Saccharomyces cerevisiae S288C: one gene and its partners. Changing the gene in region 1 together with any one later gene gives a genetic interaction. Each region holds a gene or a part of one and is shown in the gene's direction. Other genes may lie near its edges.

The links.
Region 2: mutations in YIR016W (region 1) and ICT1 together harm fitness more than expected from each alone (negative genetic interaction), as found in Saccharomyces cerevisiae (2 studies listed by BioGRID).
Region 3: mutations in YIR016W (region 1) and JHD2 together harm fitness more than expected from each alone (negative genetic interaction), as found in Saccharomyces cerevisiae (2 studies listed by BioGRID).
Region 4: mutations in YIR016W (region 1) and KTD1 together harm fitness more than expected from each alone (negative genetic interaction), as found in Saccharomyces cerevisiae (2 studies listed by BioGRID).

Annotation. Positions count from the first base shown.
Region 1 is NC_001141.2:380,873-388,794, forward strand, and holds YIR016W (uncharacterized protein), read left to right. Parts: upstream 1-1,755; coding exon 1,756-2,553; downstream 2,554-7,922. Other genes in the region: VLD1 (Vld1p), read left to right, coding at 214-942; ribonuclease P protein subunit RPR2, read left to right, coding at 1,076-1,510; MET28 (Met28p), read right to left, coding at 2,684-3,247; YAP5 (Yap5p), read left to right, coding at 3,737-4,474; YIR018C-A (uncharacterized protein), read right to left, coding at 4,692-4,829.
Region 2 is NC_001144.5:336,631-345,152, reverse strand, and holds ICT1 (lysophosphatidic acid acyltransferase ICT1), read left to right. Parts: upstream 1-4,224; coding exon 4,225-5,409; downstream 5,410-8,522. Other genes in the region: DNA replication initiation factor CDC45, read left to right, coding at 1-1,164; APC9 (anaphase promoting complex subunit 9), read left to right, coding at 1,386-2,183; ERG27 (3-keto-steroid reductase), read right to left, coding at 2,300-3,343; MIM2 (Mim2p), read right to left, coding at 3,565-3,828; CHA4 (Cha4p), read left to right, coding at 5,680-7,626; SCF ubiquitin ligase complex subunit HRT3, read left to right, coding at 7,888-8,522. UniProt on the Saccharomyces cerevisiae protein: Lysophosphatidic acid acyltransferase involved in membrane remodeling leading to increased organic solvent tolerance. Involved in resistance to azoles and copper.
Region 3 is NC_001142.9:643,804-648,073, reverse strand, and holds JHD2 (histone demethylase), read left to right. Parts: upstream 1-1,583; coding exon 1,584-3,770; downstream 3,771-4,270. Other genes in the region: ATP2 (F1F0 ATP synthase subunit beta), read right to left, coding at 1-467; DMO1 (Dmo1p), read right to left, coding at 598-948; ILM1 (Ilm1p), read left to right, coding at 3,973-4,270. UniProt on the Saccharomyces cerevisiae protein: Histone demethylase that demethylates 'Lys-4' of histone H3, thereby playing a central role in histone code. Demethylates trimethylated H3 'Lys-4'.
Region 4 is NC_001133.9:181,530-189,123, forward strand, and holds KTD1 (DUP240 family protein), read left to right. Parts: upstream 1-3,362; coding exon 3,363-4,067; downstream 4,068-7,594. Other genes in the region: DUP240 family protein UIP3, read left to right, coding at 2,241-2,948; DFP2 (DUP240 family protein), read left to right, coding at 4,792-5,016; pheromone-regulated DUP240 family protein PRM9, read left to right, coding at 5,307-6,203; DUP240 family protein MST28, read left to right, coding at 6,578-7,282.

The DNA of each region.
Region 1 (7,922 bases):
AACCTGACCTGCTAGTGTTCAACTAATGCATCATGGGTACTATAGAGAGCATTCTAGTGGTAGAAAAAAAAAAAAAAACAAACTTTAAACCGGGTAATATAAACTTCTCATATGGCTTTTCTCCAGGGAAAGAAAGGGAAGGGATACTTCAATGACGAAGGCTTAGATGACAAGCTAATACAGAAAGGGAAAGGAGCAGGGCATCGGAAGGAAATGTTGCATTTGGAAGATGACAATGGACGACAAAGGTCAGTGATAGCGAATTTGCAGAAATTCGTTTATTGCTGCCTGTACTTGAGGTTTATCAAAGATGGATCATTATTCTTGATCCTCCTGGGGTGGATAATTTCATCGCTCTGTGATTTCATTCAGGAATTGACACTCAGGTACCTGAAGAAGAACTATTTAGAGGTGGGCCGCGACAATGATCAGGAAGATGATGAAAGTCTTGCCATCAGAGGGTTAGAAACACCTATTGTAAGAATGATAATAAACAAAGCCATACGATATTACCAAGGCCTAATACTTCTAGAAACAGCGTACTGTATAGTATACCACATTAGGCTAGACGTATCGAGAGACATATGTTCCAAACCGTACGGATTTGTGATAATGCTTTTGATAAGGGAATTTACTTGTCCGGTACCCACAGCGTTTCCTAGCAAGCTACTTCTGGTACTACTCGATATTTTATTACTTTTCTGCCAGATTGTAATAATAAACGGCTCACTGAGCTCGAGTCTTCAGAACGTGAAACTTATTGTCAAGGAGTTGAATGCAGAAGAAGAGGGCGCACTCAACATTCTCAAACTTAATACCTGGCACATGGATGCAACCGGACCGGAACTCATAGTACTCAAGAATCATGACAAGTCGATTCCTCAACAGGCAGACGGGGATGACGCTACAGAGATCACTCCTCTACTGAATATCGCCGAATAAATTCAAGAAAGGAAAAGAAAAAAAATTACCAAAATGAAAAGAACGGAAAAAAAAGATGAACAGAAAATAAAACAATACGTGGTTCTTCTACTGTCCTTCCCACATCGCCGACAGAGAAAAGACAAGCAAAAAGATGGGCAAGAAAGCACACGGAGGAAAGATGAAACCTGAGATCGACGAAAATGGTACTCTGCTAGTACCGCCACCAAGGACGATTGCGAACCAGGACCATTTCCATAGATTAAACTACCTCTACCAAATATCCGCTTACCAAACAAGAGCAAGACAGAAAGCAAGAACAGACGCACATACGCCTTTGGCACGCAATTATATCAAATCAATGGACCTAATTAGTAAGAAAACCAAGACATCACTGCTTCCTACGATAAAGAGAACAATTTGTAAAAAATGCCATCGGTTGTTATGGACCCCAAAAAAACTGGAAATCACATCCGACGGAGCGCTTTCGGTAATGTGTGGGTGCGGTACCGTTAAACGTTTTAATATTGGCGCCGATCCTAATTACAGGACCTACTCGGAGCGGGAGGGTAATCTACTAAATTCTTAGGGTTATTGGTAGGGTTTTGGACCAATGTTTTGAGCAGGACAAAAATGCGGAGTTTCCAGATTTTCTTTAAGAGCCGACCCCCCACCCCCTTGCCCCTATACATGGGGTACGTGCCTGTATTTTGAGGGAAAACTACGACATAAAACACAGGGAAAAAAACGAGACGCCCGTTTGAAGAAGGTAATGTAGGATTCCGTCTTGCCAGCATAGCGGATAAACACCGCAAGGAGGTGTTGTGGTCGGTAATGAGTGGCACGAGGTGTTTGCTAGGCGTCGGACTACCAGTTGATGTGACTGCTACGGAAACTTTGACTCATGATGAACAAGGACCAGGTGTAGAGCCAGGACCGTGTTCGCGAGGAAGTTCTATAGATGGTCTGCTGCCCTCGTTGCTCGGTCCACATGATGATGTGGATGACGATTCGGCGGCTTTTCACAAGTACATGACACTATCGCGAGATGGCGCAGGCGCCATCCATGCTCCGTCATTAGTCGAAGACGCCTCAAGGAACGACGACGACGACGATGATGAAGACGACGACGACAGTTCCATGTCGCGAGACCTATCCAAGGCTCTAGATATGTCATCGTCATCATCGTCCAGCCCGCGCGTTCAAAGTCGGCGGCACCGTAGTTCTGTGAGCGCAATATCTGCAATCTTACACCAAGGAAAATCTGGCCGCGAAGACATAACTGGAAGCCTTAGCGTTCCGGCAGAACAAGAAAAACTCAGTTTTCTTGCCAAAGCCTCGAGTATTTTCTTTCGAAGGAACAGTATGCCCAGAGACAAACATACGCATTCAGTATGTCCCGCTAGCCGCCCAGATTCCGAGAGATTTATCGTCACATCTGCAGCCGCGCAGTCTTTACGCCGCCAACAACAACTGGAAGACGCTCAGTACGCTCGAGTTATTACAAACTTTCGTACTATAGGATGGTGCTCTCCCAGCGAGATAGAGTCTGTGGAATATAAACGGTCCTTGATCAATGCGGAGTGGGACGAAAAGATCTCGCTTTTGTCTCACGCGCAATGCTATAAATAATAAATATACATATATATATATTTATATGTAGATAGATGTGTGTATATATATGCTAGGTAAAGAAACGGAAAAATCGAAAAATCGAAGTTGGAGAGGAAAAACAAGACATCAGGCCCGCACGTTTCGCGGGCTACCTGCCCATGTTCCGTCTCTTAATGTCATTCAACAATTTCAAAGACTTAATCTCGTTAATGTCATTGAGCTTTGCTTTCCAAAACTCATTTTCCTTGTTCAATTGCTCTATACGATCGCGAAGTTTGTTGATTTGCGTGTTTAAGTTCTGCAGCTTATTCATGTTCTCAAAATTCTTTTGTTTCTTGCGAATGCGGAACCGCTGCGACGCCTCTGTGTTCTTTCTTCTCCGCTCTTGCTTAATCTTATCCAGTTCGTTAGAAGTGCTCACGGGAGCTTCCTCTTCTTTTACAACAACTGCTGTTGTTGCGGCAACCTTCCCCTTTCTCGGCTCGCGGAGCTTCTTAAACTGCGAGACATCCTGGCCATTATTTATCATGCTAATGAGCTCCTCCGCGTTGCCACTGCTAACCAGCAGCAATGATAGCAAGCGCGAGCCCAGCTCTGAATCGCTTGATATCAGGTTCTGTAGATGTTCCGAAAGATTGTTCACGTTCATACCCTTCCTGCTTGCAATGTCAATGTTTGTTGATTTCTTTTCCCACCCTTGTTTCGCACTCATATTGACGAACAAAACAATTTGTCTTCGTAACTACCACTGGTTATAAATAGTTAAATTCAAGTTACCTCGTGTTCTTAGTCATTGGCTGCCCGGCCTTGACTCACGCCAGTGACCTACAACTATGGCGTTTCCGCTTCCCGCCCAAAACTGTGGTGTTAGAAAGTAGAAAAAGGTGAAAAAAGCGAAACCTAAAACCAAAAAAAAAAAATAAGTCACGTGCACTCAGTACCCCTTCTATTGTATTTTAGTTTACCTATTGGGCCGGGCGGGCCCCACAACTGTGGCATCTTTCAGATCATTTTTTTCCAGAATGCATGGAACTGACGAGTGAACTTTTATTCCACGGAAAAGGACAAAAAGGTGCAGTAATGGAATGGTCTTTTTGCACGGCAGTGATGTCGCTATCATATCAATCACTGAAAGTGAAGTTAACCATATTACAACAAGTTCACACAACATAAACAGTGTAACTAGCATATTATCACAGTCATGGCTCTACCTCTGATAAAACCTAAGGAGTCTGAGGAAAGCCACCTCGCTCTTTTGTCCAAGATCCACGTGTCCAAAAATTGGAAACTGCCTCCAAGGTTGCCCCATAGAGCAGCTCAGCGGAGGAAAAGAGTTCATCGACTTCACGAAGATTACGAAACTGAAGAAAATGATGAGGAGCTACAGAAGAAAAAACGGCAGAATAGAGACGCCCAAAGGGCCTACAGAGAACGCAAAAACAACAAGTTGCAAGTGCTGGAGGAAACCATAGAGTCACTGAGTAAGGTCGTTAAAAACTACGAAACGAAACTAAACCGCCTCCAAAATGAACTTCAAGCGAAAGAATCGGAAAATCATGCCCTTAAACAGAAATTGGAGACCCTTACTCTGAAACAAGCCTCTGTGCCTGCTCAGGACCCTATCCTGCAGAATTTGATCGAGAATTTCAAACCAATGAAGGCGATACCTATTAAGTACAATACCGCTATCAAGCGCCACCAGCACTCGACAGAACTGCCTAGCTCTGTCAAATGCGGCTTTTGTAACGACAACACTACTTGCGTTTGTAAAGAACTGGAAACAGATCACCGTAAAAGTGACGACGGTGTGGCCACAGAACAGAAGGATATGTCGATGCCACATGCAGAGTGCAATAATAAAGATAACCCCAATGGGCTCTGTAGTAATTGTACTAATATCGACAAATCATGTATCGACATCCGGTCCATCATCCACTGAAGAGAGAGAACTTCTTAATACTTATAAATACGTCATTGAACAGCTCAACTTTTGTAACGTCAAAAGAACGCACATGAAAGGAGTGACATTGCTTTTTTCTTTGCAAGTTTATTACTGTGGTTATGTGTAAAGAATTAGTTCATGGACATTGGCCGCAGAGTGCAAAAGCGTTTTGGACACCCCGCCTTTGGTGTTCTCGCCGCCATATTTTGAGACGTTAGTTTCCGACGAATTGAGCTGAAGCGGTGGACATTATCTCAAGGTACCGCTTACTATGCCTATACATTCCTGCAATTTTTTTTTTTTTTTTTTTGATAAGTATTACTGGGTAATGGGAAGTATAATCACTAGGCATATTATTTTTGACGCAGAGGAGTGGCAGCCTGTCTACTATGTAAATGTAATGGTAGAACCGTTATTATAACGTAAAATAGATCGTACATAAGAAAAACTGGACGCAAACCATTTAAATCTAAATGCGAATATGCGTACTGATTATTAACATGATACCATAATTTAGATCTTTCCTTTTGAAAGTCGTGTCAAATTCTAGTATTGGCGGATGAGATCCTAATGTGCTAAACAATAGAGATAATGGGATCCCCGCAAATTTCATTTTTAAATTGCTTTCCTCTTCTGAGTTGAACACGAATTTTTGAGAATCTAGCTGTAGTTAGACGTTACGCAAAAGAAGCTTTGGCGCAAGCAAATCTCCTTCCATACTGGTCTCCTTTACGGCTGTACGAACACTACCGTAGTGACAAACTGAAAAACGAGGATTTGGTGAGCAGTCTGGAACAGGTAGATGAATCATAAAGCGCAGCAACCATCCTCGAACTGATGACAGTACGACTTTTCTCCAAAATAGATATAAAGAAAGGCTGGTTATTCGTGGAGAGTTCAGTCCTCCGTATCTAACCTTGATGAATTAAAACTCAGGCCAGAACAATCTCTTTAACAGACCTCCATACATACTCTCGGAGCTATATTTTAGTGCGATCAAACTGCGAATAGAATAAAGCAGACGCAAGAGGCAAATTACAAACTCTTGCGCTTCCTTTTTAGCGAGCTTGTTAAAGTAGGGTCTGAACGAGAGGCTGTCACAATTGCGTTGCGTTATGCAAAGGATATAACACGGTGCTGAAGTTAAACTGTGAAACTATACAAGTGGAGGACCCTTTGAGTTTTCTGTAGATAAAAAGGAGAATGTTTCAGAAGAGCGTCAGAGATCTCGAATGACAGATCGGTGGCTACCACGAAATCTTATAGGCGTTTCTCTGGGCTCCCTAGTTACGTATAGCGCTGACGTAGTTTAGAAGGGCGCGCGCATTTTTTCTATTGTTGCCTCTTTTCTCGCTAGCTGGCTTTTAGCATCATGTTCTGCGGATATTATTCTCCGCCCGGAAGGTTCGTGGAAGGCCTAGAATGAGATCTATCAATAACGCTACGCAGATTTCTAATGTTACATGTCACGTCGATCTGACATATATCTCCGTCAGGTTCGATCCAGACTCTCTGCGCGCGTACCAAGAGCTTTTTGTTTCAATAGGAACGGAATTTCCTTTATTGAATGTGGCAACGAACTGCGGAGGGTTATTAGCTTCTTGACACTTTCTTCGTCCATTACGTAGACCTAACGTTGAAAAGGAGACCTCGAAGAAATTTTAACTCTTGGCACCTCAGAATAAACAAGGTCATCTAGTGCGATGGCAATGCTTCAAAGTAAATGGAGAATTTCGAAGGCTAGCGTCTCTAGATAAATCTCAGCCTAACCCTTTTACACGAAGTTTTCCCAACAAAAAAAAAAAAAAAAAAAAAAAAAAAAAGAAGGGCGGTTGTCTTTGGCATATCGCGAAAATAATAGATCTTATCAAGGGGTTTTTAAGTCATCCTCTGATTATTGGAAGTCATAATCACGTTCAATGGTGGGAGGCCTTCGGAAAAGAAAAGAAAAGAAAAGAAAATTTTCTCAATCTGAAACAGTCTCTTGTTTACGTTACACTGGCAATTTTAACGGCGAGACTCATCTGAAAAAAGCTATTCGACTTAGTCCTGTGTTTTTCATTACAGATAATCCTGATCAACGGGTGTACGTTTTTCCATTTTAGGTCAGTATCCTCCCTCTGTGTTTCAAACTAAGTATAAGCGCCCACCCTAATTCGCTCGTATCCTTGTGTCAACTTCTTTGCTGCTCTGCAGCTGTAAACAGTTTTTGCGATAAGCCTCACATATGTCAGTGCTGTAAATACCGGAAATAGAAAGTCACTGTGGTCTGTACCCTCATTTGATTTACGCGGTTAGAAAAGTGGAAACTCTTTCTTAACCGTGTAAATCAAGTATGTCATTTCAGGAAACTTCCTCAATTCTTGGCGTACTATATTGAGTTGCCAATGTATGAGAGTGGTCGATTTCAATCGGCAACATTCTATCTCGCAATTACGCAATAAAAATTGACATGGTATGTTATTTTCATCCTTCGGATTTTTCAAACCATTCTGTTATAAGAGATATGTACCATCAATCGCCGACAGCGATACCCTCTTTAACCTCTAGTAAGAAGGACCCGGCACTTATTGTAATACGTTTAGGGGAAGTAGGTAAATCTGGACCGGTAATACGGCATAACGATCCATTTCGGACATCGGGGACATTTCTTTTTTTTCCTTTATTATTTTTTTTTTCTAATGTCCTTACGAATTTCAGGCTCTAACCTTATTTCTTATTAGGACGTGTACTCATTGCCATCGCAACAATAAAAATAAAACATTAATAAAAAATTAATTAGAGCCTGTAACATAGAGATCAACGCTACTGTAGCGTTAGAAGGACAGTGAGAGAGTGGCATGACAATTAAAGTTTCTTCCGATTACTTCATGTCATCTGCATTACAAAGGAAGGAAAGATGTTTCGAATTATTTCCCCTTTAAGGTATTTTTGATGTGAAATTTGACCCCATACTGTGAAAATCAACTGCTAAGAACTCTGTGATCTTCTAAGATAAAAAGGCGGGCCCCTTTTTTCTTCTATATCTATTTATTATCTAAATATGCTTACATAAGCAAAATATACCGGGGTAGTTAGTGCACGCGGGGAACTACCTCTTTCTTACCGGATCTTGCCGCATCCTTTTTTCTGTTCATTCTCAGAAAAAAGAGGCTTTTTTTCGTGAATACAGTCCGAAGAGCACTAGAATTTCGGACCGAAATTAGTAATATCTTCTGTACGAAAAAGGAAGACCCCTTTTCGTACAGAAGCCTTGGTCAATCAGAACAGGCAACGTTGTTTTTTCTACTCCGGAATTTTCTGAGCGAAGACAATCGGCCCTGAAGAGAGGATCAATCGTGGAAATCTACATCGTCCTCAAGAATTTCTAACGAGACTTCATGTCAAAATTTAACTTTTTTAGCTTTTTTTTAAGGTTGGCCCGCCAAAATCGTAAGTCTCGGTG
Region 2 (8,522 bases), on another chromosome or scaffold:
GAAACAAATCTTTCAAACCTGTGGTTGAATATACTTGGTACGACCTCGTTAGATATAGCATATGCTCAAGTTTACAATCGATTATACCCCTTATTGCAAGATGAAGTGAAGCGTCTCACACCAAGCAGTAGAAACTCAGTAAAGACCCCTGATACATTGACGTTAAACATCCAACCGGATTACTACCTTTTCTTACTGAGGCATTCTTCATTGTACGACAGTTTTTATTATTCTAACTATGTCAATGCCAAACTATCCCTATGGAATGAAAATGGGAAAAAGAGATTGCATAAGATGTTTGCTAGAATGGGTATACCATTAAGTACTGCACAAGAAACATGGTTATACATGGATCATTCTATTAAGAGAGAACTTGGGATAATATTTGACAAAAATTTGGATCGTTATGGGTTGCAAGATATAATTAGAGATGGGTTTGTTAGAACTCTTGGATATCGTGGGTCCATAAGTGCCAGTGAATTTGTCGAAGCACTAACAGCTCTTTTGGAAGTAGGTAATTCAACTGATAAGGATAGTGTGAAAATAAATAATGACAATAATGACGATACAGATGGAGAGGAAGAAGAAGATAACAGCGCTCAAAAATTGACGAATTTGAGAAAAAGATGGGTTTCGAATTTTTGGCTCAGTTGGGATGCTCTAGATGACAGAAAGGTGGAACTATTAAACCGTGGCATTCAACTAGCACAAGACTTACAGAGAGCAATTTTTAATACCGGGGTTGCTATATTGGAGAAGAAATTAATCAAGCATTTAAGAATTTATAGATTATGCGTCTTACAAGACGGACCCGATTTAGACTTGTACAGAAACCCATTGACGTTATTAAGATTAGGAAATTGGCTCATAGAATGCTGTGCGGAATCTGAAGACAAGCAATTGTTGCCCATGGTGCTTGCCAGCATAGATGAAAATACGGACACTTACTTGGTTGCTGGGTTAACACCTAGGTATCCTCGCGGACTAGACACGATACACACAAAAAAACCTATTTTGAATAATTTCAGCATGGCGTTTCAACAAATAACTGCAGAAACGGATGCTAAAGTGAGAATAGATAATTTTGAAAGTTCCATAATTGAAATACGTCGTGAAGATCTTTCACCATTCCTGGAGAAGCTGACCTTGAGTGGATTGTTATAATCAAATTTATATTATTTAGTCGTACATATATACCAGCATATGAATATAAAATCTAAGCTTTTTCAAGCTTTTAAGTCCAACTTTTCTATAATAATACCATATTTTGTGCGCGGCTCTTGACAAAACAAAAAAAAAAACCTAAATAAAAGGAAATTAAGAACAGGGAACTAGGTTTGGAAGGACAAATTCAGGAAGGAAAGAAATAGCTGTGACAAAGTAAGATGAACCAAAATGGTGATAAGAACGAAGGCAAGTTGTTTCAACTACCGTCATTGCCGCCCTGGAAAACACCAAGGTTCAACAAAGCCAACTTTAACAATTTTACCACACCGCTACGGAAAAGGTCGACAAGGGTAATAAATGATGATTCGATGCCCATAACAGGCGAAGTACTAGAGGAGAGGACTGCAGATGATCTCTATGGGATAAATATGGACGTAGACGAAGTCGACTATCTGAATACTTTGAGCCACATCGAGGAAGAAAAGCAATACGATTATTCACCGTTTTGTGAGCGCAATACGCTAAGGGAAAGTAGAATTGACAGTTTTTTGAAAGCCGAAAGGGCAGCACATTGTCTTGTGTTTCATAAGGTGGGCCATCTAGACGGCATAGACAGCTATCGACCCGATATTGACATCATGTGCGGCGAAGAGGCTAATAAATATGACAGTGCGAATCCGGAGGGCAATGGTTCAATGTTGTTAGAGAGTGTACCTGGATGCAACAAAGAAGACCTGGAGAGGTTATCAAGGCGAGAATTTGTAACAAATTCGAAACCTAATATGAGACGGTTGGATGACATAATAAATCATGAAACGAACGCCTTAAAAAGTTTCTGGAACGACTCAGGATTAGTCAATTCACTCCAAAGTCATCATTTGCATGAAGAGTACCTTCTTTTGCAAGAAGAATTAAAGAATGTGTACAAGATTAAATGCCATGACAGAGTGCCAATAGAAAGTCTACGCGATAAGTGCAGAAGACACTATAGCAACGAGGATAGTTCGTTTCTCTGACAGAGGCAATGCCTTTTTTGCTTCACGTGTATATATATCAGTTGATATGCGTTTTCTATACAGACATACATGTATATACACACATATATATATATACATATGTACGCAGAGATATATTAAATGGGGGTTCTAGTTTCAACAATTTGATCTTTCAGTTTCTCGTCCCATTCCAGTTTCTTCTTCTGTATATAAGCGAAGACATCAGACATTCCAGTAGGGTCTATTTCCTGCGTCTTGATATATGGCATACCATCCCTAGAGGTAGCAGAACCGTATTTTACGTCTTGTTTCTCAAAGTTTGGATTGGCCAATCTAGTTACGTATACTGGGGCATTGGCAGCTTTATAACCATCAATATTGTGCCATGGAGACCCCAACAGCCTGGCCAAATAGAACAAGCATAGCATGCCGAAATAGGTGAAAAAATTCAAATATTCGGAGAAGGAATGGCTTGTAAATATGCCCGGTTGAACTACATACTGATTTATGCCCAGCTTTTTCAAGTCTTTGTAGGTGGCCAAATGCAGTAAATCAACTAAACGCTTGGAGCCCTCATAAGAGGCATTTGTCTTTAGTAGTTCAATATCGTTCAACGAAAGATACTTAGGATCGGACATAATACTCGAAATCCAAACAATATAAGCCTTTCCCCTGGTCAATTGAGGCAGAATTTTACTGATAAAGTAGTACGGACCAAACACATTGGCCTGGAAAATAAGCCCCATGTCATCTTTAGACTTGACGCCCACCAGTTGTATCTTGTATGTCGGATTTGTCACTGCCTCCAATGGATTGGTGAAAACCTCCTTGACCGCTCCGATCCAATCTATACCGTCAAAGATACCTTGCGCAGCATTCACGAAAAGGTAGTTTATCGCCCTGTACTTTTTGTTGATGTCGTAATATGCGTTCAAGACACTCACCATGTTGGTGAAGTCCACCAACAGATAATCAAAGTCTATTTCCAAATCCTCTACACGGCCTGATTTGTTGTAAAAATCTTTAATCTGGTTAATCACCTCCTGCACTCGAGGAAGCGTTCTAGAAGTCACCACAATGGTCAATCTGACATTGGTGTCCTCAGTTTCAATCAGACGGAACACAATGTTCAGACCAAGATTACTATTAGTACCCGTTACGATAGCTACTTTCCTGTTCATCCTATCCTCCTACTTTTTCTCTTTGCTACTTTTTTTCGACACAGATCATGTGCTTGTTTCTCGTCCTATCTTTTAAATACCTGCTCAATTCAAGATGCCGTTCTTTCGTTAAACGACCATAAATAAAGGCCCACGTACTATCGGAGATAAAACAACGGGTGTGCGAAAAGTGCCATTTATCTGTTATAACTGCTATATGCGGATACATAAACAACAAACACTTATACAAAGTGTTCAATGAACCTACTCCATAGAGTCTTGGCCATTCTCCTACCTATATACTTGCCCAGCAGGGGCAGCAGGACCCAGTTGAGCAGCTTGTTCAACTGTTGCAGCGACTCTTCCCATTGACGCTGTGCATCTGCGAGCTCGTTGCTGAGTGACGTGTCCTCGTCGCTGAGGTAACCATCTTCTTCCAGGCCCTCCACGCTGTTGATTGTGTCGATGCCCTGCAGGATCACAGAGGTATCCTCGCTATCTGCCATGTTCTAGTTATTGTTGCTCGTGCAGTGATGTGCTGTGGTGCTGGGGAGTGGTTTGCTCTGCCGATCTTGCTTGTAACGGCCGGCCGTTAAATGGGCCTTCGGGGTCCAAACGAGGCGCGGTTTCGTGAATCTTGCTTGGCTGTTTTTGGCTTGTTAATCCCAATTTGCGATAGTTTACGTTTCCACGGGGCACTGCTCAACGGGTTTAGTTCCGTGGAGCAGATGTGTTGCAGATACTAGTTGATATTTATGTTGATGTTGATCATTCTTGTGGCACAAAAGTATAAATAAAGCAGCGTGCTCTTTTTTGTACGTGGAGTAGTAGAAGTATATTCGCAGGTCTTTCTCTCATTGTTCAGGACATATACATACGTAAGCGTAGTTTTCTTCAGTAGAATGTGGACAAACACTTTCAAATGGTGCAGCAAAACTGAGAAGGAGACCACTACTGCAGACGCCAAGGTGTGTGCTAGCGTGCAGGGCCTGAAGGCCCTGCAGCAGCAAATTATGGATAGCACCACTGTGCGTGGGTCCGTTAATAACACGATGACTCCAGGCGGGATTAACCAGTGGCATTTCCACAATAAGCGTGCGAACAAAGTGTGCACGCCTACAGTACTAATCCATGGATACGCTGCCTCGTCGATGGCGTTCTACAGGACGTTTGAGAACCTGTCAGACAACATTAAAGATCTATATGCCATCGACTTGCCAGCCAATGGTGCCTCAGAGGCGCCAGCATTGCAAGTGAACAAAACCAAGAAGATCAAGTCTCTCAGGTTTAAGCATATAGAAGATGACGTAGTAATCCCTGTGATAGAGAAGCGCCCCCCAGCAGAGGACATCAAGTCACACCTGGAGCAGTACGAAAGCTACTTCGTAGACAGGATAGAGCAATGGCGGAAGGATAACAAGCTTCGCAAAATAAACGTGGTGGGCCATTCATTCGGAGGATATATTTCATTCAAATACGCCCTCAAGTACCCTGATTCCATTGAGAAACTGTGTCTCATATCTCCTCTTGGTGTGGAAAACAGTATACATGCTATCACCCACAAATGGGAGCCCAACACCACCTATCCACTTACGTTTACCGACCCATCGTCCCGATATTATACAAGAAAGCTGAACGTACCGCGGTTTATCTTTGAAAACCAGCTAAACGTTTTGAAGTGGATGGGACCCATAGGCTCCAAATTGTGCTCGAACTACATCTCCACCGCATACGTAAAAGTTCCGGATCAGATATATAAGGACTATCTTTTGCACTCATTTGTCGGGAAGAACCAGACGGTGCAACCACAGACAATCAAGGTGTTCACCCATTTGTTTGAAAGGAATCTGATCGCTAGAGATCCGATAATAAACAACGTTCGTTTTTTGAACCCAGCAACGCCTGTCATGTTCATGTATGGCGAGCACGATTGGATGGATAAATATGCGGGCTACTTGACTACTGAATCAATGCTAAAAAACAAGGCAAAGGCTAGCTACGTTGAAGTCCCTGATGCTGGCCATAATCTTTTCCTGGACAACCCGCAGCACTTTGCCTCTTCTTTAGTCTCGTTCCTGTCAAAGTAATGCCTATATAGAGTAGAGAAGAAAAATACAATATGGAAAACCACGCATATATATATATATATATATAAATACATACATATACATAATACATCACTTTACTTAACCGTATACAAGATAGAGCAACATATACATCAAGAGTGTAAACCTCTCATATGTGAGCGGATGTTCCGATCCATCCCGAACGAAACAAAGCAAAATCAACAAGTTGACATCGCCGTAAGTTTTCAAAAATAGCCCTTTTAAAACTCGAAGCTCTACACAATCGCAGCAATGATGTTGGAGCCTTCACCTCCACCTTTAACAACAACGGTAACACCCTCCCTTCCGTCCAGTTTAAAGAAATCTGTGACAGATAATGACCAGAATAATAACAACGTGCCCAGGAAGAGAAAACTAGCATGCCAGAATTGCCGTAGAAGAAGAAGGAAATGTAACATGGAAAAGCCTTGTTCAAACTGTATCAAGTTTCGTACCGAATGTGTATTCACTCAACAAGACTTAAGGAACAAAAGATATTCTACGACTTACGTAGAAGCTTTACAGAGCCAGATTCGGTCTTTGAAAGAACAGTTGCAAATATTAAGTTCCTCGTCTTCCACAATTGCTAGCAATGCTCTCTCCTCGTTAAAAAACAACAGTGATCATGGTGATGCTCCTAATGAAAAAATCTTAAAGTATGGCGAAACAGCACAATCAGCACTACCATCATCTGAAAGCAACGATGAGAATGAGTCTGATGCGTTCACCAAGAAAATGCCTTCCGAGAGCCCTCCACCAGTTGGCACAAATAGTATATATCCATCAAATTCCTTGTCTATAATAAAAAAGAAGACGGATGGAAGCACAAGATATCAGCAACAGCAGGTCAGCCTAAAAAATTTATCAAGAAGTCCCCTTATCTTAAGATCGTTGTCACTCTTTTTCAAATGGCTATACCCGGGACATTACCTTTTCATTCATAGAGAAACTTTCTTAAGTGCTTTCTTCGGTGATACTAACACTAAAAGTTACTATTGTTCCGAAGAATTGGTATTTGCAATCGCTGCATTGGGATCTTTGATTTCATACAAATCAGAAACTGAGCTTTTTCAACAATCTGAAGTGTTTTATCAAAGAGCCAAGACGATAGTACTCAAAAAAATTTTTCAACTGGAAGATTCTTCGTTAGCTGAATCGTCGTCCTCTTCGAAATTAGCAATCATCCAGACTCTATTGTGTTTGGCATTTTATGACATTGGAAGCGGAGAAAACCCCATGGCTTGGTATCTTTCTGGGCTGGCATTTAGGATTGCCCACGAAATCGGCCTACATTTGAATCCAGAAGCATGGAGTAATGTTTATGAAGACGAGCTGTCAATAATGGATTTTGAAGTGAGAAGTAGAATTTATTGGGGCTGCTACATTGCTGATCATTTAATAGCGATCCTCTTTGGAAGATCAACTTCCTTGCGTTTGTCCAATTCCACTGTTCCAGAAACAGACGAGCTACCTGAAATTGAGACTGGTATAGAGGAGTACATATATGACCCAAAAGTAATATTGTCCACTGCAAACCCCTTGAAGAAACTGATTGTGTTATCGAGAATAACGGAGATTTTTGCATCCAAGATTTTCAGCCCAAACGAAACTCTACTTCAAAGGAGTGAATACTTGGCCAAATTTAATCTGGAGGTATACAATTGGAGAAGGGATTTGCCCCCTGAACTACAATGGACCAAGAGGTCATTGATGGAAATGACAGATTTTAACCCAACCATAGCTTACGTATGGTTTCATTACTATATCGTGCTAATTTCCTATAATAAACCTTTCATATACGAAATCAAACAAAGCCGGGAATTGGTTGAAGGTTATGTTGATGAACTGTATTATCTTTTAAAAGTTTGGAAAAATAAATTTAAGACGTTTGAGAAGGCCACAATTTACATGATTTATTCTGCGATTTTAGCCATCCAATGCATGAAGTCCAACTTGATTAAAAAGGATAGAAAACAAGACTTCTTAAATTTTTTAAGTGCGCCTACCCTGAATTACGAACTTGCTAGAAAATTCATAGAAAACTCTGAAGATGCTTTGCATAATTCAGAAACTATGGATTTATTAGGGACTCTATCTCACGGTAACGATTTTGCCTTAGAGTACAATTTTGACTTTACTTTATTGAATGAGATTGATATGCTGATTGGTGGAAACACCAATGATGGTTTGTCGAAGTAATCTTGAGTGAAGAGGATATGTTTACTTGAACAAATATTCTTTATGTAATGTGTTTGTAGCCTTTTTATTTGGGAAGGAATATACCGCTATCCTTTCCCACCTCCGAACTTATCGATTCGGAATTTTAAAGAGCCTTCCAAATGACAAAAAAAAGGATTGTAGTTCCTAGATAGCGAAATCGACTGAGCAAGATAAAAGCAAACATTCCCCATCATCTTTGGCGACGACACATGTGTTCCATAAGCTAAACTCAAGGAGCAAATGATAGTAGATTATGAAAAGGACCCTAGGGCTAAAGAGGCTATTGCTATTTGGGAAAAAGGTGTACTGAAAGAGAAGGATGGGTCAATGTCAGATGCTATAAACTTCTATCGAAGTGCATTGAAAATCCATGATAATGTGGAATCACTGTACAGAAAAAAAATACTTGATGAGTGGATGCTGCACAAAAAACTATCGGGATTATCAATGACTACTGATGCTCCAGATGAACAAAATGAAACCGGTAAAGATGACTTATCTGTTGAAGAAAATGCTGAACTTCAACCCTGCTGGATTCTGGAAATCTTGCCTGACGACATTTTACTGAGAATTATTAAAAAAGTTATATTAATGTCTGGTGAATCTTGGGTGAATTTGTCGATGACTTGTTCCACCTTTAGCAAGCTTTGCTTCCACGATTCTGTGCCATTTAAAACTTTCGCGAAGTACATATATTCTAAGCAAATATACGACAAAATGGCAATGGATCTTAACGGAATCACCGATATAAATACCTTTGAAAAGGAAATATGGCGGGGTGATGATTATCGTATGTTAAGGGAAAGGCCATATATTAAATTCGAAGGTGTTTACATCAGTGTAGTAAATTATGTAAGATACGGTTCCAATGCAGA
Region 3 (4,270 bases), on another chromosome or scaffold:
CTAGGAGGGTCTGCGTGAATTGGCTTTCTTAGTTTGGACTTAATTGGACCTCTTTCATCAATAGGTTCACCGATAACGTTGATGATTCTCCCTAAAGTTTCTCTCCCAACTGGGACGGAGATAGGGCCACCAGTGTCAAGAACCTTTTCACCACGGACCAAACCTTCGGTACCATCCATAGCAATGGTTCTGACAGTGTTTTCACCCAAATGTTGAGCAACTTCCAAAACCAACTTACCTTGAGGTGTTTTAATTTCTAAAGCGTTCAAAATAGCGGGCAACTCTGATTGTTCAAAATGAACGTCAACAATGGCACCAATGACAGCGGTAACTTTACCGGTGATTGGAGTAGATTGAGCAGCTGAGGCCATACATCTTTTCCACGAAGTGGATAGAAGCGGAGCGGATTGTTTGGCTGCTTTAAAAGCAGCACGGGATGTAGCAGTATATAGTCTTGGCAAAACCATTCTTTTTTTTATTTTTGTTTTCTCTCAAAGATTCAGTATAAATTGGATAACAACAGACTAAAAAATGAAAGAAAAGAAAGACAAATTTGACTTGAGGAGGAGCACTTTTGTCTTCGTTTATGAGGGGGGTTTAGGTTGCTAAAATTTGTGTTACTGTTTGATCTTTGCAAAATTTATCCAATTGGCCTGTCCTGGAGAGATAAAGAAAGTTTAAAAAAGGGCAAGTTAAAATGTTTGTTCTGTAATACAAAAAAGAGGTTAATGCAAAAAGTGCGTTCTTTATAAGCGTTGTATCTAAGAGCTCGAAGATGGGAATATCCTTGCGCTGCTTGGCCGGCGAGGGGCCCACCCGGCACGCGCTTGGAGGTCGCCGTTGATTGGCCGCTATATATCGCGAATCACGGGGGTGTGTGTGCGACCCGGTGCGCCGGGTGGCATATGGGCGGCTAATTGCGTATAAGATGATAACATCCCAGCGCATCACGTGAAAGGAAATACATATATATGTGGCTTTATTACTGGTTTAGAGTATTTTTGTACTGTGACTACTACTGTATTTCATGTAGCAGAATACACAGCCTTTTACTTCTGTTCTTTCTCAAAGGTTCAAGAAATAGAATAGCCAAGTGCCATCAAGAACTCGAACTAACTTTCGTAGAAGGAGTAGTATACAGTCTTGCTTGTCACAACTCTTTCAGGAGCTTTCTTTTTAGTATTATACACGATCCGTATGCTCATCTCGTGATATAGAAGTAACGCATTGAATGCAAAGAAAGGCAGATATTTTACCCTAGGTGTAACCAGAAGAGATTAGGAGGGCTTAGGGCCAGTATTTTATCTGATGTAGGGCAAACGAGTAAAATGTGTAGGGTATGGGCTAATATCAAGGGCTTCGGACTTACTGCCCCGCTCACAGAAACAGCCGCACTAATTAATTTCTTTTGTGTAACGTTAAAGTAACCCTGGAATCATCATTGAAAAATTATCATCCCAAGAGACAGAGATGTGCATGTTGACAACGCAGGCTCAATGTAGAATAAGATCTGACTACTTAGTCAATTTTACCTCTAGATCATATTAACTAATCTCATCTTGCACAAAAAACGTATCACTATCATGGAGGAAATTCCTGCCCTGTATCCAACGGAACAAGAATTCAAAAATCCGATCGATTATCTCTCTAACCCCCACATTAAAAGGCTTGGTGTACGATATGGTATGGTCAAGGTCGTACCACCAAACGGGTTCTGCCCGCCACTTTCTATTGATATGGAAAATTTTACTTTTCAACCAAGAATTCAAAATCTGGAGAACCTAGACCTGAAAAATAGGTGTAGGCTATTTTTTATGAAACAGTTAAATAATTTTAAAAGATCCGTTAAGGATCCATCGAAACTTATACTTAGGGAACCTTATACGATTGTAGAATATTCAGATTCTACTCATGCATCGGAAATACTAAAAAAAAAAGTGTACTTTTATGACGTTTTCTCTGAACTAATAAAAGACAATCGGACACTTACTGACACTACACAGTCATTCAGGCGAAAATTGAAATTTAGAGATATTTCCCAATTAAGAGGCGACATCAGTCTATGGAGGACCATTTCTAAAAAATTCAACGTACCAATCGGCTTGTTAAAGGAAATTTTTGAGAAATATATTGCCTCATACTACATATTTCTTCATTCACTGAACGAGAACGTGCACACGGCGCTGCATGCTGACCAGTATCCAAAATCCTTATTAAGTGATGACGAGGACGATTTCGATCTTGGGCCAGATTCGAATTCTGGGTCGGATTTTGAGGAGGACGATGATGATGCTTGTATTGTTTGTCGCAAGACAAATGATCCAAAAAGAACAATTTTATGTGATTCATGTGACAAACCATTCCATATATATTGTTTATCACCACCTTTGGAACGTGTTCCCTCTGGCGATTGGATTTGTAACACTTGTATCGTCGGAAACGGATATTACGGATTCACTCAGGACACGCATGACTATTCTCTACCAGAGTTTCAAGAATATTGTAAACGTCAAAATTCAAGGTTATTACCAGCACGAAAACTGTCTATAGATGAGTTGGAAGAGATGTTTTGGAGCTTAGTGACCAAGAATCGTCGCAGTTCATTAACGACAGTTAAATACGGTGCTGACATACATAACGAATTGCCAGGTCAAATTACCGGCTTTCCGACGAGAGAATTTATACCCAAAAATATAAATGGGGACGAATTGATAGACTACCTCAAATATTGCGATCATCCTATGAATTTAACTAACTTGCCTATGGCTCATAATTCGCTATTACCGTTATTTAAAAGAAATATTTCTGGCATGACTATTCCTTGGATTTACATAGGCTCCTTATTTTCCACATTTTGTTGGCATATGGAAGATCAGTATACCCTAAGTGCTAACTATCAACATGAAGGTGACCCTAAGGTCTGGTACAGCATTCCCGAATCGGGATGTACGAAATTCAACGATCTATTAAATGATATGTCACCAGACTTATTTATCAAACAACCAGACCTACTGCATCAGCTAGTGACTTTAATATCTCCGTACGATCCAAATTTCAAGAAATCAGGTATTCCTGTGTACAAAGCTGTGCAAAAGCCCAACGAATATATTATCACGTTTCCTAAATGTTACCATGCTGGTTTTAATACAGGTTATAATTTTAATGAAGCTGTCAATTTTACTATAGATTTCTGGCTACCATATGGATTTGGTGCGATTACGGATTATAAATTAACTCAGAAAGCATGTGTTTTTGATATGTTTGATTTAATGATCAATGTTTTGGACAAGTACAATAAAGATACTCTATTGTTCAATGATGCTTTTGTTAGGCAATGTTACTCTTCATTGATCGTCTTTTATAATACTGAATTAAAACGCATACGGAAAATTCAGGCCATTGTACCACGGACAACTCTTTTGGAGGTGCATACTGATCCAAACGATGAAGATGAGGAATACGATATATTTTGTTCCCAATGTAAGACTATATGTTCAATAGCCTTTGTATTGCGAAAGAATAACTATGATTCAATTAGAACGTATAAAAGACACAAGAAAAACCATTTAAGTATTAGGCAGTGGAATGAACTATCCACGACGGACAGTAAAGTGAGTATCCTGTGTACGCAGGATTACTTAAAATCAATACAAAACTTGAACAATAGCGACGGTGAAGAACCTTATATTGACGATGAATTGTATTTCACTAAGTCTTTGAAGGATATTGACTCTTTAATAAAGCAAGTTGGTGTTAAGTTAGATAGATAGTCTTCAATATTTGTGTATGGCGTAATGATTTTTTAGAATAATACTTGGCATTTAGCACGCCACTTTTAGCGCGAAAACACCAAAAAAGTAAAGAAAATAATGTCGATCAATCTTTAAAGAGAGACAATTGAATGGTAGTGTAACAATTTACAACATAATAGAGTATCGCATTCAGCAAAAGTAAAGAATAAATTCTAAGAAAATGGCTCAAGCCTTGAACTCCACCAATATTGCTTTTTTCAGAGTAGCATTTTTATTCACGATCGCCTTCTTTTGTTTAAAGAACGTTAATTCTATTTTGCAAAATACATATTTCATAGTCTTAACGCAAGCGATGAATTTACCGCAGTTAACACTGTCACGTTATAGTGGTCAATTGGGTCTTTTCGCTCTTCTGTTTACTCTTAACGGTGTTCATGATCTAATTCCCCTGTTAGAAAACAATGTTAAATACTTCCAATCTGTTGTGCCAGTTAGATTACTAATTTTTTTTATTTTGA
Region 4 (7,594 bases), on another chromosome or scaffold:
TCTCCTTTCTATAAAGGGCGTCTTTCACTTCACTTGTGCCATGTTACAAAGCTCCAAACGCACTTCTAACTGAGTACAATGCACGATCCCACTGACAGACAAAACAGCTTCACAGAATTTGATCATGCCATCGTAAAAACCACGTAGTAAGGAATAAAAAATCCCGAAGTCGATCATACTATGTAGAGATGTACATGAATAGTCTAGGAATCTGGTCTTCCAGCATGTTGCTTTGGTCTGCTTCAAGCGCTATGGAAGCGCTCGCCATGAGATATGCTGTTTCAAGGCAAAATAGCAAAGCTCTTTGTAAAGAAATACAATTCAGAGAAGAAGCTACAGCATTTTGTTTCTGGATGATCCCTGCAGGTTCATACTACTAAGTAAATCTTGAACAGTTCAAATTTCAACAATTCAGAAACCGCTCTTTTTATATATACTCTACCAAACGAGATGAAACAGCATTTTTTTACTCTTATAAGGTACCAATATTTTGACGTATGCTTTCTTTAACGTTCACGATCGGGCTGGGCCATTAAACTTACCTTAGATATTATTTGGAACAGCACCGCAAGTGCTGATGTCCCAGAAATGGGCGCCGGTTCAATTAGGTCGTGAAGTCAGACATATGGAGACTCTCGGACTGAAAGCACTAAGGGATGATAGCTGGCATGCCAATTCCATTTTAAATTTACACATCAAGTTACAGGGTTTGGGAAAATCACGTTCAAAGCCTGAAAATTTGAGGTTGTTCACGGAAATCATTTGGTTATGTCTGTCGGCCTGCTATTTAGAGACATTTTTTATTGCAACAACCTACTCTATGCACTTACACGGAATCGCAGAATAACGCGCGCACAACACAATTGGGAAACGATAGGATTTTGAATAGTGTATTGCTTTGTACCGATTTAAATAATTCTTTCTCGTGTTGAATCCGAGTTGAAGATGAGTATGCTTTGAAGAGGTGAAATATCATCAGTAAAAAAAAATAACGACAACTGCAGGACTCGAACCTGCGCGGGCAAAGCCCAAAAGATTTCTAATCTTTCGCCTTAACCACTCGGCCAAGTTGCCAAAATTGTATGTTATTTGTTGTATCTCAAAATGAGATATGTCAGTATGACAATACGTCACCCTGAACGTTCATAAAACACATATGAAACAACCTTATAACAAAACGAACAACATGAGACAAAACCCGACCTTCCCTAGCTGAACTACCCAAAGTATAAATGCCTGAACAATTAGTTTAGATCCGAGATTCCGCGCTTCCACCACTTAGTATGATTCATATTTTATATAATATATAAGATAAGTAACATTCCGTGAATTAATCTGATAAACTGTTTTGACAACTGGTTACTTCCCTAAGACTGTTTATATTAGGATTGTCAAGACACTCCGGTATTACTCGAGCCCGTAATACAACATTATTTTCAGTGATAAAATATGTAAACCAATTATAAGAAAAAGGATTGCGTTGCATCACAACTGTAAACCATTAATTAAAAAGAGCAATTGCTATTTAGATTTGTTGCTGAGAATTGGCTAAAAAATCTGATAATTGTAGGACTTCTATTATTGCTAGGGGCAATGTGTTGGAATGCAATTCTGTTGGAATAAAAATCCACTATCGTCTATCAACTAATAGTTATATTATCAATATATTATCATATACGGTGTAGAGATGATGGCATAAGGTATGAAAAGCTGTCATCGAAGTTAGAGGAAGCTGAAGTGTAAGGATTGATAATGCAATAGGATAATGAAACATATAAAACGGAATGAGGAATAATCGTAAGATTGGTATATAGAAATATAGACTCCATTATGGGGATTCCTAGACCCTCGAGGAGAACCTTCAAGTATATTCTGTATACCTAATATTATAGCCTTTATCAACAATGGAATCCCAACAATTATCTCAAAATTCCCCCAATTCTCAACATCCGACTGCCATGCAATGTGCTTTTCTGGATCTCACTCATGATCATAATGGCCCTGTAAAAGGCTCGCACTATTATTATTATATCTTCACTATATATTATTTCGGAGGCTGTACCTATCAGTGAAAAAACGCCTCTAAAAATGAAAAAAAAAAAGAATATGAAAGGGGTTCTGAATTGCTAAAATATTTCGTCAAAGCTCAATTAGTATCATGATCAAGTCGTAATTCGAATCAGCATAACAACCTCCAAAACCATATAATAACCTTACACAAGACAAGATATCAATTCAACATGCAAACCCCTTCAGAAAATACCGACGTCAAGTTGGATACTCTCGACGAACCCAGTGCACATTTAATCGAGGAAAATGTGGCTCTTCCAGAGGATACATTCAATTCGTACTGGAGTTATATACTTAATGAAATCGCTCGTTGTAAACCGCTAATGATTATGTTCCTAATACCTGTGTGTTTGGTTTTATTGATTACGTTTTTTCATGATATCAAAGGTATCCTTGTGTTTTTAGTGATTTCTCTTATCCTCTCTATTATCATTTTATTGATCGGTATAACTGCCTTCGTGTCTGAGACCTTGAATAAGGGTTTCATAATTAAGCTTTTAGTAGAAGTCATTACACGTAAACCAGCAGTAGGGGGGAAGGAATGGAGAATAATCGCATATAATATGAACCAGTATCTGTTTGACCATGGGATATGGCATACTCCGTATTACTTTTTTTGTGAACATAGGTGCCATAAATTTTTCAAAAGCCTTATCAAACAGACAAGGTCGAATGCACATTTGAGTTCACCAACGAACGGTGCAGAGAATACGCAGTCAAACACACCAGCAAAAGAGGTTTCAAATGAGATGGTAAAACCTTATATCTTTAGTTCTGATCCAGTTTTAGAAGCTTACCTTATTAAAGCTGCGGAAATTCACAAAGAAGCTGAATTTGAGTATTGGAGAAAGCAATACCCAGAGGTTGATTTGCCTTAGGGCCGAATTTTTGGTATTTATCTAGTATATTCTAATATAAAATGTACGAGCATCATTAACTTCAAGAACATTACGAAGCCCGCAATTAAGTGTCAGTCCATCTGGGTGTAAAAGTTATGTACGCTCGAAACAAATTTTATGTAGTTTACTTTAGATGCAAATGCTATTATATATTTTGCTTTATGATCCTCGGCTTGATGCTCGCCAACGTGAGATAGCTGGTCATCACAATAGATCAGCCGGGACGCTTTTCGATCACATCGAATCCCTTCGGGACGTTGCAACAATACGTGAAAAATGCCTCAAAAATAATAAATACAATGGTGAACAACGTTAAAAAAGCATAAAACAGCTGGCTATTTTGATCAGGATAACATCTATAAGTGCCATATTAAGGCAAGATATCAATTGACCATGCAAACACCTTCAGAAAATACCGACGTAAAGATGGATACTCTCGACGAACCCAGTGCACATTTAATCGAAGAGAATGTAGCTCTTCCCGAAGACACATTCAGTTCACATCTGAGTTATGTACTTTATGAAATTGCTCATTGTAAACCGATCATGTTTATGATCATCATAATCGTGAGTTTGATCTCATTGATTGTGCTTTTTCATGATAACGACGGGTGCACTGTGATCTTAGTGATGTCCCTTATAGTAGCCTCCATGGCTTTAATGGTGGTTGCAGCATTCACATTCGGGAAAGCGATCACTGAACAGGAGTTCATGATAAAGCTTTTAGTGGAGGTGATCGCACGCAAGCCTGCGGGGAAGGAATGGGGTACTGTCGCATATAATATGAACCAATATCTATTCATGAAGAGACTATGGTATACCCCGTACTATTTCTATAGCGGCAAGAAGTGCCATGAGTTCTTCACCACTCTTATCAAGGAAGTGAATTCTGGTTCGCACTCGGATTCCTCATCGAATAGTGCCGAGGATACACAATCACCTGTCTCAGCAGGGAAGACTTCAAATGGTCTAAACAACTTTTATAGTATTAGATCAGACCCTATTTTGATGGCATATGTTTTGAAGGCAACACAAATAGAAAAGGAGGCTCAAAGTGAATACTGGAGAAAGCAATATCCTGACGCTGATTTACCTTGAAGCGGAAGCATTTTATTCACCAAGTATACTTACTTTTCTTTAAAACGAGAACAAGAATCGAATTCAAGAACATCTCGAAGCCAGAATTGAGCATCATATATTCGAGCTGTACAAACATCATGGCCTACAACTATCGTATTTGTAAGTTTTTTTAGAGGTTTTCATATTTGTTTAATAAGGGTTCTGTCAGTTTTTGTCACATTCTATTGTTGCGCTTCGCATAATGCAGCCAAGAAAATCCAAACAATAGAAAAAGAAAAAAAGGATCTCAAAAAGGGTTTGGTGTTGTAGTTATAAGAATAACTAGTGAATAAAAAAGCTGTTGTTTGGTCCGTATTACATTCGTCAAAAATTTAGTACTCAAATCGTGTATGCAATCGCAACCACAAAATAAAAATATTAGACTGGATGTGTTGAGTGGAGATGGTGCCAATTTAGTTGAGGGAAATGTGGTCCTTCCCAAAGACATGTTCAATTCGTACTTAAGTTATTCACTTTACGTGTTACGAGGGGGCTCATTGTAAGCCGATAATGATTATGTTCCTGGCATCTGTAATTTTGATTTCACTGACTAATTTCCGAGTATACCATCTCATGTCCCTTCTATCCTCTTTTTTCATCTCCGGGACAGACCGACAATAAAGCATCTAATATTAGGCTTTCGTTAGAGGTAAGCACACGCCAGCGTTCGGTGAAAGGGGAATGAAACATTATCACGTACAAGATGAATAAATATCTATTTGACCATAAAATATGGAGTACTCCTTACTACTTTTATTGCGAAGAAGATTGCCACCGTCTTTTTCTAAGTTTTATTGAGGGAAGAACTTTCGAGAAGCCAACAAGCAACGCTGAGGAAAATGTACAGGAGACTGAAGCTGGCGAATCTTTCACATTAAATCCCGGAGAAGATTTTCAAAATTGCTTTCCAAGACAGCGGATATTGTAGAACAATCTCAAGTGAAGTATTGGCAAGATATTGGTGCAATTATTTGAAAGGAAGGAGAAATATTCTGACAGTACCTTGCTAGCAAAGGGATTTACCAATCCACTGACGCTAAAATGGGGTAGTAAATTAGATAAATTGCATTCTAACGTGACTTTATATAGTGGGAAACAGATATGTAGCACACAAAACGGCATGATTATGCTTAATTGATTCCTATTTTTTAACGTAAATACTCTCCCAGAACGATCAGAAAACTTAACCCGCAACCATCTTTGCTGTGCTAACAACTTATGTCGCCTCAATACCATTTTTATTTTGTATCATTCCGGAACTTAGTATTGAATGAAAAATGCCTCCGAAGTAAAAAGCAGGTGATGAAAAGTTTCAATTGGTATAAGACAGATCGCTATTTTGATCCGCATAACATCCTTCAACACCATAGCAGAGCTATAGAGAAGACAAGATATAAACTGGGCATGCAAACATCTTCAGAAAGTACCGACGCCAAGTCGGATTTTCTCGACGAACCCAGTGCATATTTAATTGAGAAAAATGTGGCTCTTCCCAAGGACATATTCGGTTCGTACTTAAGTTATTGGATATATGAAGTTACTCGTCATAAAGCGGCAGTAATTTTGCTCGTACTTATTGTGACTTCAATTTTATTATTAGTGTTTTTTTATAATACGGAATTTTGCGTTGCCTTTGAGATACTATTGTTTTCCTTTTGCTTTCCAGGAACATGCATGGTTGTAATTGCATTTAGTGAACCGATCGGTGATCGGGAATTTAAAGTTAAGCTTCTGATGGAAATTATCACACGTAAACCGGCGGTAAAGGGGAAAGAATGGAGGACAATTACATACAAGATGAACCAGTATTTATTTGATCATGGGCTATGGGATACTCCCTACTACTTTTACCGTGATGAAGATTGCCACCGTTATTTTCTAAGTCTTATTAAGGGAAGAACTTTCAAGAAGCAAAAGGAATCGTCAGCCAGCAATGTTAAAGACGCACAATCAAATGACGAAACCGCTGGCACACCAAACGAAGCCGCTGAGTCTTCTAGTTTTAGTGCCGGACCGAACTTTATAAAGCTCCTCACCAAGGCAGCCGAAATCGAACAACAATTTCAAAAGGAATATTGGCGACAAGAGTATCCTGGTGTCGATGAGTTTTTTTAGACAGAAGACGGGAGACACTAGCACACAACTTTACCAGGCAAGGTATTTGACGCTAGCATGTGTCCAATTCAGTGTCATTTATGATTTTTTGTAGTAGGATATAAATATATACAGCGCTCCAAATAGTGCGGTTGCCCCAAAAACACCACGGAACCTCATCTGTTCTCGTACTTTGTTGTGACAAAGTAGCTCACTGCCTTATTATCACATTTTCATTATGCAACGCTTCGGAAAATACGATGTTGAAAATGCCTCTAGAGATGAAAAACAATCGTAAAAGGGTCCTGCGTAATTGAAACATTTGATCAGTATGCAGTGGCACAGAAACAACCAGGAATACTATAGTCATAGGCAATACAAGGTATATATTGGCTATGCAGACCCCTCCAGAAAGTACCGACGTCAAGTTAGATACACTTAACGAACCTAGTGCACATTTAATTGAGAAAAATGTGGCTCTTCCTAAGGACATATTCCGTTCGTACTTGAGTTATTGGATCTATGAAATCGCTCGCTATACACCAGTCATGATTTTGTCCCTGGTAATAGGGGTTTTGGTTTTATTAATTATATTTTTTAATGACAACGAAGCTTGTGTTTTCAATTCTGCAATATTTGCTTTTACTTCTCTTGTAGGTTTGTTAATAATATTAAGTGATGGTAATCCAAAGCTAGTCAGTCGTCGAAATTTTAGGACCGAGCTTTTAGTGGATGTCATCACACGTAAACCGGCGGTAGAAGGGAAAGAATGGAGGATCATCACATACAACATGAACCAATATTTGTTTAATCATGGGCAATGGCATACTCCGTATTACTTTTACAGCGATGAGGATTGCTACCGTTATTTTCTACGCCTTGTTGAGGGAGTAACCCCCAAGAAGCAAACAGCCACGTCAATTGGCAATTCTCCGGTCACCGCTAAGCCTGAAGATGCCATCGAGTCAGCTTCTCCTAGTTCCAGACTGAATTATCAAAACTTTTTGCTCAAGGCAGCGGAGATCGAACGACAAGCTCAGGAAAATTACTGGCGAAGGCGGCATCCCAATATCGATGCGCTTCTTAAAAAGACGGAATAGCTTAGAGACACTACCATACGTAAAGCGAACATAAACTAGAGTATGATATATAATCAGCACTAACTGGCCGGAAAACGGCCGAAGGAAGCCTCGAAAAGTCGATTCGTGTTGGACCCATTTGCTGAACAAAGTGGTTCATTGCCTACCTATTATGGTAGTAGTCGTGATAATCGTGTGGTTGGTTTTGTCAACGGTGCATTTGCATTTTCATGACAATAAACCTTGCGTTTTCGTTCTCGGGATATTACTTTCCCTCCACTTCTTTCGCCTCAATAGCTCCTATAAGCATTCTCAGGGCGTATGTCGGTGATC